Linked DNA regions of Oryzias latipes. The protein of the gene in region 3 purifies or fractionates together with the protein of the main gene of each other region. This does not show direct contact. Links are inferred from orthologs where the notes say so. Each region holds a gene or a part of one and is shown on either strand. Other genes may lie near its edges. The genes, in order: znf644, chromobox protein homolog 3 and activity-dependent neuroprotector homeobox protein.

Evidence for each region.
Region 1: the proteins of activity-dependent neuroprotector homeobox protein (region 3) and znf644 purify together in Homo sapiens (affinity purification with mass spectrometry; 3 studies listed by BioGRID and IntAct, with this or other methods). This does not show direct contact. The link is inferred for Oryzias latipes from reciprocal best matches to the Homo sapiens genes ADNP and ZNF644.
Region 2: the proteins of activity-dependent neuroprotector homeobox protein (region 3) and chromobox protein homolog 3 purify together in Homo sapiens (affinity purification with mass spectrometry; 7 studies listed by BioGRID and IntAct, with this or other methods). This does not show direct contact. The link is inferred for Oryzias latipes from reciprocal best matches to the Homo sapiens genes ADNP and CBX3.

Annotation. Positions count from the first base shown.
Region 1 is NC_019875.2:5,864,555-5,868,203, forward strand, and holds part of znf644 (zinc finger protein 644), read right to left. Parts: intron 1,600-3,649; coding exon 1,009-1,599; intron 1-1,008.
Region 2 is NC_019869.2:11,215,390-11,219,590, reverse strand, and holds the start of chromobox protein homolog 3, read right to left. Parts: upstream 2,913-4,201; 5' UTR 2,781-2,912; intron 2,109-2,780; 5' UTR 2,101-2,108; coding exon 1,955-2,100; intron 1,291-1,954; coding exon 1,134-1,290; intron 1,035-1,133; coding exon 940-1,034; intron 282-939; coding exon 155-281; 3' UTR 1-154.
Region 3 is NC_019865.2:4,532,859-4,537,012, forward strand, and holds the start of activity-dependent neuroprotector homeobox protein, read right to left. Parts: upstream 2,865-4,154; 5' UTR 2,346-2,864; intron 1-2,345. Other genes in the region: dpm1 (dolichol-phosphate mannosyltransferase subunit 1), read right to left, coding at 3,730-3,834.

The DNA.
Region 1 (3,649 bases), on a different chromosome or scaffold from region 3:
TGGATTGCCCCCCAACATGTATTAAAGTCGCTGCTAGATGCATAAGTGTGCTAATAAACCCGACGGTACGGCCACATGTAGGAGGAGGAGCTACCATCAAAGTTTTTCTCGAGCTCATCATGGACGACGTGCTGATGAGGGATCAGGTGGATTTATTTTGAAGAGCTGCACAAAAGACTGGATGAGCAGTGCACGTCTACACGTCTAGGTTCACAAGAGCATTCAGAGACTCTCCCAGACAGGAGCAGCAACTGCGTCTAAATGACAACAGCTTTCAGCCGTCTCTCTGCCGTCTCTCTGTGACTCAATTTGACGACTTGCTGTCCGGCACTGTGGCAGGAGAAAGACTTTACAGCAGCAGGGGACGCAGTAAAGGAGTTTGATGTAAATTCTGACATGCCCTGTGTCAGGTACGTGGGTTGGTGAAAGACCCAAAATGCAGAGTCGGGAGGCAGGCGGTTCCAAGTAAAAGGGGTTTAATTTCCAAACAAAAGACACTGTCGAGCAGGGAAACCAAAAACAAAACCCAACTGTCGCCGTAAACAGGAAGACAGGGAAGCAGATGGTATGGACCAGCACAGAGAAAGGCAATGACAAGACATATATACTAACAAGACTGACGAGACACAGGGGAAAAAGATCACGGGAGATTGGAACAAGTAAAACTCAGAACTGCGACATGCAGGAAACCAAGGATTAAAACAACAACTTTGTAATCTAAAGGGATGTAATGCCATGTAATCTGATATTTTATAAAGGCTGTTATTAATACCGTTTAAAGAATTTGGCCTTTCTGAACTGAGCTGGATTACACTGATGAGTCTAGCTTTGGTTGATGATGCTTCTTGCTTTTGCTTTTGTGTTGGTGCTTCACAAATAAACTGAGTTAAGTTTTCTTAAGAACAGTGGATCCAAGTGTAATGCCAAACTTTGGATGGTTTTCTTTGAAACCACATCAACATCTGTAAGAAATAAAAATTTTACAAGAAGAAAGTTACAGGTACTTACCGGCTCCTGTGGTTGGCAGTGTTGCAACCCTTGATCCTGAACTGAGCTCGCCGTTTGAGGAAACTTTTAACACGTTTCTAGACGCTTGAGAAGACGCCTTGAGTCTGGCTTCTTCCTGGCACTTCCTCCTCTTTAGAATTCCTATCAAATCATTGGTGCCTGTGAGGGAATTTTTGACTTCCAAATCTGTCTCCCGGTGCCCATTTTCAGCCTCACTTTCATCTAATGAAAATGAAGTTGTCAGGGGTTTGGTGTCTGTGTTAACCCTTGTAAAAGAATTGTTTTTAGGGAATTCCGTCAATGAAGATGTGAAGCGATTCGCAGTGTGCAGCTTTGGTGAAGCACCATAGTGGAAATGGTTCCGCCTTTTTCCTAAAATCTGAAGAGCTCGTTGGCACTCCTTCTTGTCGCGCATCAGCTCTCGAAGTAAAACTATTGGGGACTTGCTCTTTGTAGAAAAGCTTCTGCCAAGTTTCTTCAGGTGGCCTCTTATGTGATTGGATTGCCCAGTTCTGTTGTCAAAGGAGTCCCCACATAACGGACAAGCATGAACACCCTTCACAGTCTCAGAATCTGACTCCAGCTGTATCGCTGAGGAGGGGAGGAGAACAAAAGGAAACACAAACATTTGATCATAATGTGCATGAGCATAAACCAATATAAAAACATGACACCATAAATGTAGCACCACAAGCATGGTATGACCCATTGACTGTATATGAGAGCTGGACAGAGTGAGTGTGACGTCACCCATAGAAAATATAGGATCTGCAGATAAATTGGTGTTTTTGGACCAAAAAAGGTTCTGGACTTTTAGTTCCGGCTTATCATCTCTGTCTGGGCACCATGTTGTTGTCTGCAGCCCGGTCCTCTTGAGTCAATTCAGTACCTATTTTGTTGCAGTACGGACACCATCGTGTTGGAACCAGACGTTGTTAGTAAACAGTGATTGGTCCGAGTCAGACTGAGTCAATGTTTCTATGGCGACCGCTCTCACAGATCAGGAGTGAGGTTGGGATGTTGGCATCTTGGCTACTTGGGATTCGGGGGAGGGGGGGTATCAAGCTGGATACACTCACACAATAATGACATTTAGTAGCAGTCCTCACTGCAACTACATTTGCTATCATTGTAGTTGTAGTGAGACATGGTATGTCCTGAGACTGAGCAAATACATCCCACTTTCTTAAGTATTATTAGTGTAACCTTCAAAGTTCTCCAAATAAAGTCCTCCTTTTGATCGAAATGGTGGGGCTCCTGGTGGTTATACATAATGCTAGACCAGGAAGTGTCATTCTCGCAGGCTCTACAAACCACTTTCTGTTGTGAAGAACAACTTGAAGAACAACATTGTAGAGCTTCTCTGGAGGAACAAGCTGCTCACCCTATTTCTGAGGTAGACCCAAGCCACCTCATGTGTGATCCCCACTCACAGCTTAGGGCTATAGATTTGTAAGCATACAGGCTCATTTCTAACTAAACCCTGTTTACCACAATGGACTAGAACAAAGTAAACATTAGTCCAGATGCAAAGGTTATTTTCCATTGCATTTGAAAAGTATGCTCGGATACCTAAAACTACTTTTAGGTACCAAAGCAACTGAATCTCCAGAGGACATTTTACCCTTTCTCTGCTAAAACATGTTGTTGCAGACTTGGACTGCTGATCGTCATTGAGACCACATCACACTTAATTGCTAACCACGTCAACCTAAGTTTATGGTCTGGTTAAACTAAAAAAAAGATTGCGGCATTTGCAAAATAAGAATTACAATTTCTTTTTTGGCTTCCAAAAGTAACTACATGACAGGAAGATTTCTTTATCCAAACAAAAGGTGATAAAGAAATGACTTAAACTCTGACCAGCATTAAATCAATCACTAGCTAGGAGAAACAAGTGCCGTCTCTGTTTGTACAGGCTTAAGAAAGAAATCACCTCAAACTGCTCACTGAAAACCCACCACTTACATACAGCAAGACAAGGTTGAAAACCTTTAAATCTTAAGTACAGTAATGGGCCTGATGTTTCCAAGATTCTCCAGAGTCTCTAGTGAAGATCTGGTGCAGTTTATTATGGATGTCACTGTTCTTCCTGAATCTGTGATTTCACTGATAACCAGATTTTACGATTATCAAAAACAGTCTACAATTATTGTTGAGCTGAGCTTTTTTCCTCTACCGTCATTCACAAACTAACTTCTGACTAATGTTAACTTGTTGTCCTTAACTGTCCTATCGTCAAAATCTTATCTAGATGGGCTTTAGGACAATAGGACAACTTCAAGGAGAAGATTTGCAAAACCAAGTTACAACAATCTCTAATCTCATAGAATTGCCACAAGAGACACAATGCCTCCCTAACTGAAAAATCAAGGTTTTCAACCGCTGGAGGGAAATCCTATGAAGAGAACTATAAAAAAAAGAGATTCTGAAACTAGTGACAATCCCACACAGTCACTGCCTGGAAGTAAACTCAAATCTACAAGGTAGCAATTCTCCCCCAATAGAGCGGGGTCTATCAGATATATTCTCCAAAATTTTGGAATAGCCCACTAAGAATCTTGGAATCCAGCTTGAGAAGCTGTTTGCAGGTAAGACCATCTCAACCATTTAAACTGACTTGTGGCAAATCCTGGTTGAA
Region 2 (4,201 bases), on a different chromosome or scaffold from region 3:
TACAACCTTAAAGCTCATTGAAAACCACACAAGCGTAAAAAAAAAAAAAATCTATGTAATTCATGTAACTAGAAGGATAAGGCAGGAAACAGGAGCACAGAACGTCCTGAGAAAGGAGCAGAGGTAATGCAAAGAACAGCACAAACTACAACAGTTACTGAGCTTCATCTTCTGGACAGGAATGCCACGTCAGTCGCTCCTCATAGAAGGATATGACTACCTGAGGGCAGCGAGTGTTGGCTTCACGGGCCGGGACCAAATCCGCTTCGTCGGAGTCTTTCCTGTAAAAAATTAAACAGCGTTACACAAATGGAAAAAAAAAACATTCAACATAAAACTACTTTAAAAAAATTAGTCATATGATATTCCACAATAAATAACATCTTTCCACAATGTTTCTTTTGTGAACCAACCAATGAAGTTAAGAGAAAATGTGAACAACGTTCAAACTAGAAGTTTTCATTCTGGGCCAAATTGTACTGCTCACCTAAAACAAGTTTTACATTAACCCCTCCCTATGCTGTGGTTTATCTATCGCTGCTTCAAATTTTTATAAATATCTTTGCATGTTTATTTTGATTGCCCTCTGGATCCTGATTGGTTGATGACCATGTCATCCATCTCCTCCCTCCCATGTCTCCTGTACAAATGCGTTTAGCTTGCCCATTACAAACATCTTCCATTGTGACCAGATTTTTGTCTGCTTTCTAAAATATTGGACTTATTGTCTTATTTGAGAGTTTAAACAAGAGAGAAAAGTGTGAAAATGTTTGTTTGTCTGAGAAAAGTGTATAAAGTGTGTAGTGAGGAGTTTTACAATGATAATCCTATGAACCAGATTTTAAAGTGGGATGTTTATCTTATAATTTTTTTCATTTCATAAACATCTTTTAAAGGTTCTGTCTAGTAGACAGTCAGAGACATTCTATAAAAATGTACCATTTCATCAGAAACATTAACTCCCCGCTACTGTCAGTTGCTCCAATAATTCGCTCTGGCTCCAGGTTTCTGGCAAAGCCACGTGGTTTCTCAGCCTAAAGTGGAAGCACATGAACATTCAGAAAACAGTTTTAAAATGGAAGAATGACTAATTAGAACTGAGCTCAAAGTACTGCAATGACATTGTGACATACCATGTCTTTCTTCTTGGGCTCTGTCTCTGGCTCATCTGTGGAGGCTTTCCTTTTAACAGCAGCAGGCTTCTCCTTAATATTCTTTTGTGATTCCAAAAATGCAGAAATCAGCTCAGGACAGTCCAGGTTCTCCTCCGGCTCCCAGGTGTTGTCAGCACTAAATAGTTAAGAGGGCTGTGATCAATTGCATATAAATCATGACTTTTAAAAAAAATGTAAAGCTAACAGGATGCGGAGAACACTAGCAGCTTCATGCAAAAATGACTTTACTACATGTTCAGAACAATCTGAAACCAATCAGATCCAAATGATCTGGGTTATCAAGTGATCAGGGCAATCTGGTGTTCTTTAAAAAATAACAAGACTGGTCAAGTTATGAGAAAATTGTCTAAAGCATATAATCTGGTGTCTTCTTGCATGTAAATGAACTATTTGTAATTTTGGTTTACGTTATATGGGTAGTTACAGCGTGAGTGGAAAACAAAGAAAAAGGGCAGATGCTTGCCACATTCGAGCCAATTGTCTTGTTCTTTTCCTGAAGTATTCAGCCCATTTTGTATACCCATAAGCCAGAAGGAAAATCGAGGCCAAAAATTTGGCTAATTTTAGCTAAATGAAAGCTCAAGTTAAAGGAGGGGGAGGGGTCAAATTAAGAATCATAGTATAAATGTACAAAAACTTTAAAATTGGATCTAAGGCTCATGCTAATCTATTGTAAATGTCTGATTCCTTAACCACATAAAAATGTGGTAACAGAGTAAACAGGCCAACCCCCCTTCCCCATTCTAAAGAACTAGCTGGAGAGGCTCCAGTTAACTCACTCTGTAAATCCTTTCCACTTCAAGTAGAACTCTACTTTCCCATTGACGAGACGCTGGTCGAGTACTTTTTCCACAACAAATTCTTCTGGCTCTTCCTGCGTGTCCTGTGAGTCCTTCTTACTCTTTGTATTCTGCTTCTTGCCCATTCTGGCCTCTAAAACCAAGAGGAAGGAGAGTCAATTGCCGATGTATCACGCAACTGCCCTTTTCCACTTCACCTGTAGGACCCACATTTAGCAGAAAGGCTTGTACCGTAAATATAAAGGTGTACAGCATGTGTGTGTTTAGTTTTTCCAACTTTTTACGACGGACGCGACTCGGCCACGTTCACTCCGCAAGTTTTCCGTAAATGGTACTAGCGTCCTTTGGGTTAGCCAACATGCTAACGTAGCCAAAACAGTTTGAGGCCATGGTACCATTGTTTATATCTTTTTACTAAAAAGGAACATCAACATGCTACAAAAACGTGTTTTCTTTAGATCTTACCTTAACGCCTCAAATAATTACAACAATACAGCAATATCGACACCCAACAAAAAAACGAAAGATTGTTCGTGCTAGTGTTAAGTTAATAGCAATAGCAAAACGAGACAATCAACAGTCTAAAACTAAAAGTATACTATTCATACAACACTCGGGCTTGATAAACTTAAAAAGCTTGAGCTGTGAAGAGTCAAATACAAATTCTGTTCGGTTCATTGCATTCATTTCTATGATGAAGAAGTTAGCTTAAATTACTCCTTACGTCTTAGTTATTTAAGAAAAAAAGTTCAAAAACAAAGAGATGAGATGCAGCATTTAATACCGGTAAACGTAGCTTACATACCTTGTAAAGCCTAGAAAATGACCTCGGTGACGACTTATTCAACCACGCGGTCACTGCCTGTCTTTATGTACAGATGAAGAAAGGAGGGTGCGCGCCAAACGCAAAAGGCGAGTAGGCTACGGAAGCCCGTAAGGAAACAATTTGCTTTAGAGCACTTGTGACTCTACGGTGTCCTGTTAGTTTATTTTTACGTCATTTATTTTTTCTCAGTTTATATAACGGTTTATCTCACAATCTTTAAAATATGTTTTTTCATTTTAAATGAAAAATGAGAATACACGAGTAAAGCTTTGCAGCATGTTTAAAACATTGACACATTTCTATCGTTTTCACTAATAAAGGAACAGCTTATAGTTGTTTTTGTGTTTTAAATATTCTGTATGTCTTGAGTTTTTTTGATATTGACGCTTACAAATGACTTCTGAGCTAAAATAAACTCGTGTTACTAAAGAATACTACAAAAAATGTTTATTTTATGCAAACCAACTTACCTGCTATAGAATGATCTACAGAATTTGGGTGCATAGAATCCTAATAATAAAGCCCTAAATAAAATAACAAATACACAAAACAATATTGTGTCAGTGCAGTTGTATTGATTGAGTGTGAAAAAAATTAAGTATCAGTGTTTAAAGCTGTGAAAATTATTTACTGTCTCAATGTGATTATCAAATGTAAAGTGATTCATTTTCAGTAATCTTTACTTGATAAATATAAGGTTGTCTGTTAAATTTAGTTACACTAAAGCAATACCTTTGCTATAAGTGTGAAGGCGAAATAAAATGATCTGTGCTTCAGTCTACACTTTTGCAATCCAAATGTTTCTATTTTTTTATTTTTATTTGCAATAGTGAACAATATCTTCTACACCAAGTGAACCGAGTTAGTAAAAAATTCTCTGCTAGAAAAATTGTAATTTTGTCAAAATGTCTTCTTTACCATTTTTGACAATACCAAATAACTACAGCACTGGCCAAATGGTGTGATTTGAGTTGTACTTGGATTAATAATAATAATAAAAACTTAAAGCACTAGCAAAGTACTTAAGTTAGGAGAAAGACATTCACCCCACTTTAAAAAATGCTTAGACTTAAAGGTACACATAAAATGTGAACAATAATCTTATATTTATCAGAAAAAACAACAAGAATGCCACTTTCTTTTTTTATTCAGAGTAAACAAATCCCCCAAAAGCGCCTAAATTCTTCAAGAAAAACCATACTATCAGCAATCAACAAGCAAACAATCAAAAAACAAGAAAGACACACATTTGCGAAACTTAGAGACAGAAAAGTAAACTTTAAGCTAAACCAGGAAAAGAAAAATGTCACTTCATGCACTCCACAATTATTTCACACACTTGGCTGACTTTGTAAAGCTGTGAACCCATAGTTTTCATAGCAATCCCTTTGCATAATGAC
Region 3 (4,154 bases):
GATTTATTCAAACAGCACATTTGCATTTTCAGCAGCATTTCTCTTGCACGGACAGTAAAATCAGAAATTTTCAATTTAAATCAGAATACGTTAAGGTTTCTCAGGAGTCCTCATCAATGATTCAGAGTAACCGGTAGAAACCTAAACATATAAATTCCCACTCCAATTATCTTTTGATCCATTTTCAAAGAGTTCCCAGTGGTCTTTTAATCATGATTATCCCTTTCAGATCATCCCTTTGTTTACGTTCTCTTCCGCTAGCTTACAGCCCCTCACAACCCCAACCTAACAATACCAGTGCATTAAAAATGGTGATCAATTTGATCAAAGTTTGAGACAGGTGCCAAATCATGGATCTAGTAGTCTACATGTTGACTCATCAAAATCGAGCAGGAAGCTTGTAGCTTGCCGTAGCAGCTTCTACGTCACAGCTACCAACTTTTTCCAACAGCCTTTTTTTTTCTCAGAAATGTAATTTTAAGCTCAATTTTCATAATAAATGTCCTCCATACTGACATTAAACACCAAAGGAACCTGTTCAGAACACCAAAAACACGATTTTCATTGGAGTGGGTCTTTGAAGTCAATAACCTCTTTGTTTACCGAAGCGTGTTTAGAGGGCAGAATACTCATGATAATCGTGGGCATTTGTTTGAAAACCCACTGAAATATGGATGTCAACATGAACCGGAACAGAAAGTTCTGTGGCTGAAAACAAATGGTCAGATTGGAAAAGACCTACAGCTAAAACAGTTCACCTAATTAAACGTGATTGGCGCTTTGCGGGAAGGTCAAAGGTCACAGAGAGTGGAAAAACAACTGCTGGATGCCAAACATGTCCAGGGAGCACCTGAGGCGGTTCACTCCTCCACCCAAAGGACTCTGGGTGCTGCCATCGCCTCCCTCGCCCCCCCCATAACCTGTAAAAACTGAGAGGCAGACTTCAGTCCACTTCCCACTTCGGCCTTTTTCCTGCTTCCCTCCCCTTCTTGTAGATGGCGCTGGAGAGGAGTGACATTATGTAAGCCTCCCTTCACTCCGCCTGCCCCCCCCCCCCCCCCACCTCATAACACCAATGGAGAACGGCGCCTCCTATTGAGGAAGCAGCAGCCCCCTACAAAAAGGTCTCTGCAGTGGAGGGGGAGGGGATGAGAGAAGAGGAGAGGAGGGAGTGATGTTGGAAGGGAGGAAGAGGAGGAGTGAGAAGCAGGGAATGGAGGAGGGGGGGTTAGAGGGGTGAGAGAAGGAGAGGGGGGGTGAGCAGCTAGTGTGAAGGAAGTGTGAGGGAGAGATGGAAGGGGGGAGTGAGCAGAGGAAGTGAGGCTGGTTTGGGTAAGGAAAAACAGGGGAGAGGGGGTGGGGGAAGAGGGTGAGAGCAAGAGGGGGCAAAGGATGAGGAGAAGGGAGAGGGAAAAAAGGATAGGGAGGAGAGAAGGAAGGAGGGAGGGAGCAAATGCTAGAGGAGGCCACTCTGCTGGCAGAAAACGGGTTCTCCTCCAACATGAAGAGGCCTTTGTATCTCCTGCAGCAGCAGGACACAGCCATGTTCTCTCTGGGAGCACATGCTGGAGCACCATCCAGGTGTGCACGCAGCTTCTGGGGTGGGGTGGGGGTCTCCATCCACTGCAACAGCTGCAAAAGTTTCTCATTCCTTGATTCTGAGGAGGCTGGATGCCAATCTTCAATTATGATGGACGGACTTTCACCTCAAACTCAGTCCGGAAATATTAATATTCTACAGAATGCTAAATATAAGGAGGGTGTTGACTCTTGCAGTTGCTCATAACTCCACAAAGGTTTCATTAATTGAATGCTACTGCATCCTGAAGCCTCTGCATGTTGGACTTTCTTCAAACTTATGAACTACGTCCCGCAGAAAAAAATGACAGCAGCCCTCCTTCCCCCTGGATTGGGGGAAGGCTGAGCTGTCACCACCTCTGAGGAGCCGTTTAGGAGCCCATACCAATAAACCTGAAGAGATCCTTGAGTTCCACTCAGAGTGCGCGGCATCAGCCCCGTAACACATCTGTGGGATGTCCAACATCTGGCAGGATCCAGAACGACAAAGAGTAGGGCGCACGCGCGCTCTGTTAGCCCGCTAAGCTAACAAACAAGCACCAACGGGCTGGACTCGGAATAGGCTTACTGTCGCCTCAGAATCAACCACAAACTCTTATTTTACTTCCTTATAAAGAAGTTGAAAGATATTGGAGTTTACAGAGACCCGCCCTGTTCATATAAACACCCGCCTCGTATACGAGTTACCTTAGCAGCCACCCAGCAGGTAGCCACGGTTAACGGCGAACACCCGGGGTTCACCCCCGCGGGAGGACCTCCAAGTTTACCTGCTTTCGCGTCCGCAGCGCCCGGCTGACCGAACTACGCCCGACCACCGCGATGTGGGGACACTTGCTCCGCTCTCGCCCGCTCAGGTGCTTCGTTCGTGAGGTGAATAGCAAGCCCCCGCTGCCGCTCTACCCCCCAAACCCGACTGTCCCTCTCCAACGAGGGCTGTTTTCTTCCCTGTGGTCGGCAAACAGGAACGGTGGGCGCGCGAGCTTCATCAGATAATTCCGAGGCTCGTTTCCCCGGAGCGCTGCGGGCGCAACGACCGGGTTCGCCCGCTCCTGTGAATAAATGCTCTAAACTCTGCCTATAATTTCCTGGAAGCGGAATCCACTTTGCCCATTCTCTCCTGACAGACAATACACATCCAGCCTGGAAACTGCCCTATCCAAAATGGCGCAAATAAAGGGGCGGAAGTGACGTCGGCATCATTAGCATAAACCATCTTATTGTGAGATCCCGGGTCGTGCCGTCTAATGAAAGCCCCTGATTGGTTTGTCATCAATCAGCGGCCAATTAAGCCGTTATTTATTACATTTTCCTTAACAATTACATACTTTTGAGGCCTAAAAGCTTTATAGGCTTTGAGAGAGGCCATGTGGAGGATAAACAACCCTAAAAAGCAGTTACACAAGCTAACCGACAGCGGGCGTCCTACTAGCTTGGTTAAGTCGGCGCATGCGTGCTGTGCTTACATCTGGTGTACCCTCTTTCCTCCACTCTCTTGAGTACAGCACTTAAGTTCCCAGCCGGAACACTAGGTGGCGCTAAGAAATGCAGCAGAGATAAAGGCTCACTCCCATACAGACTGTGAAAACAGTCTTTTTTTTTTTTTTTTACAATCTATGGTTGCTCCTAATAAAAAGGGTGTTAAAAAATACATCCAAATATATTCCCAGAACATCTTTATTTTGACCAGACAGATTGAGCAATTGTTTTTTCCTTTTACATTGCTGCTAATCACACCTGAACTCAAACTGTTAAACACCTATTTTACAATAAAGTGTCCTTGATATTTGTGTTGTCTATACAGTCCTGCTTCAGATTTAATGAACTAAACTAAAAAATATATAATAATAATAATAAGTGAACAAAGGAGCCAGCAAGACTTGATCATTTTTAACAAACAAAAACATTTTTAAACTGTAACCAGCCTAACGCCTTCATTCTGTGAATTGTCTGATTTAGGAATGATTAAACCGTTTTTTTTGCAAAAAGTGATGGGAATGTGAAACAACATGGGAGAATCTCTGTGCGTGAAAAGGCTTCCAACCGGGACACGTCTTTTTTTCGCATCAGCTGCCGTGCCACTTTTTGATAATCCAGGTACATTTCTGCGCACAGACCTGAAGACCGAGAGACCACTACAAAAGCTCAAGATGATCATGTTGTGGCGAAAAGCATGAGCAGTCCTTTTGCAAAAGACACGATCTCGTTGCCTCCCAGTTTGGATTCCCCGTAGACGCGGTCCACAAAGGAGATGGGAACCTGGCAAAGACAAGAACTTTAATGTCTCTGAAACATTTAGGACATAAGGGTTTGTTGAGCTTCCATTAAATAAACTAATGAAGTAAAGGATGAAGAGTTCGGATCGTAATAAATCACATAAATCACATATATCACCTATATGTGCCCATATAAAATATACAGTCTAATTATTTTAGAAAAGATTAGCATAAATTGAATTAAAATACTCTTAAAAAACATTTTTTTTCGTTGTTTTTTAATGCATCTTTTGTGTGAAACAACTAGGTGTTTTATGAAATAAACTGATCAAATAAACATATTGTTCAATTTAATTTTGAGAT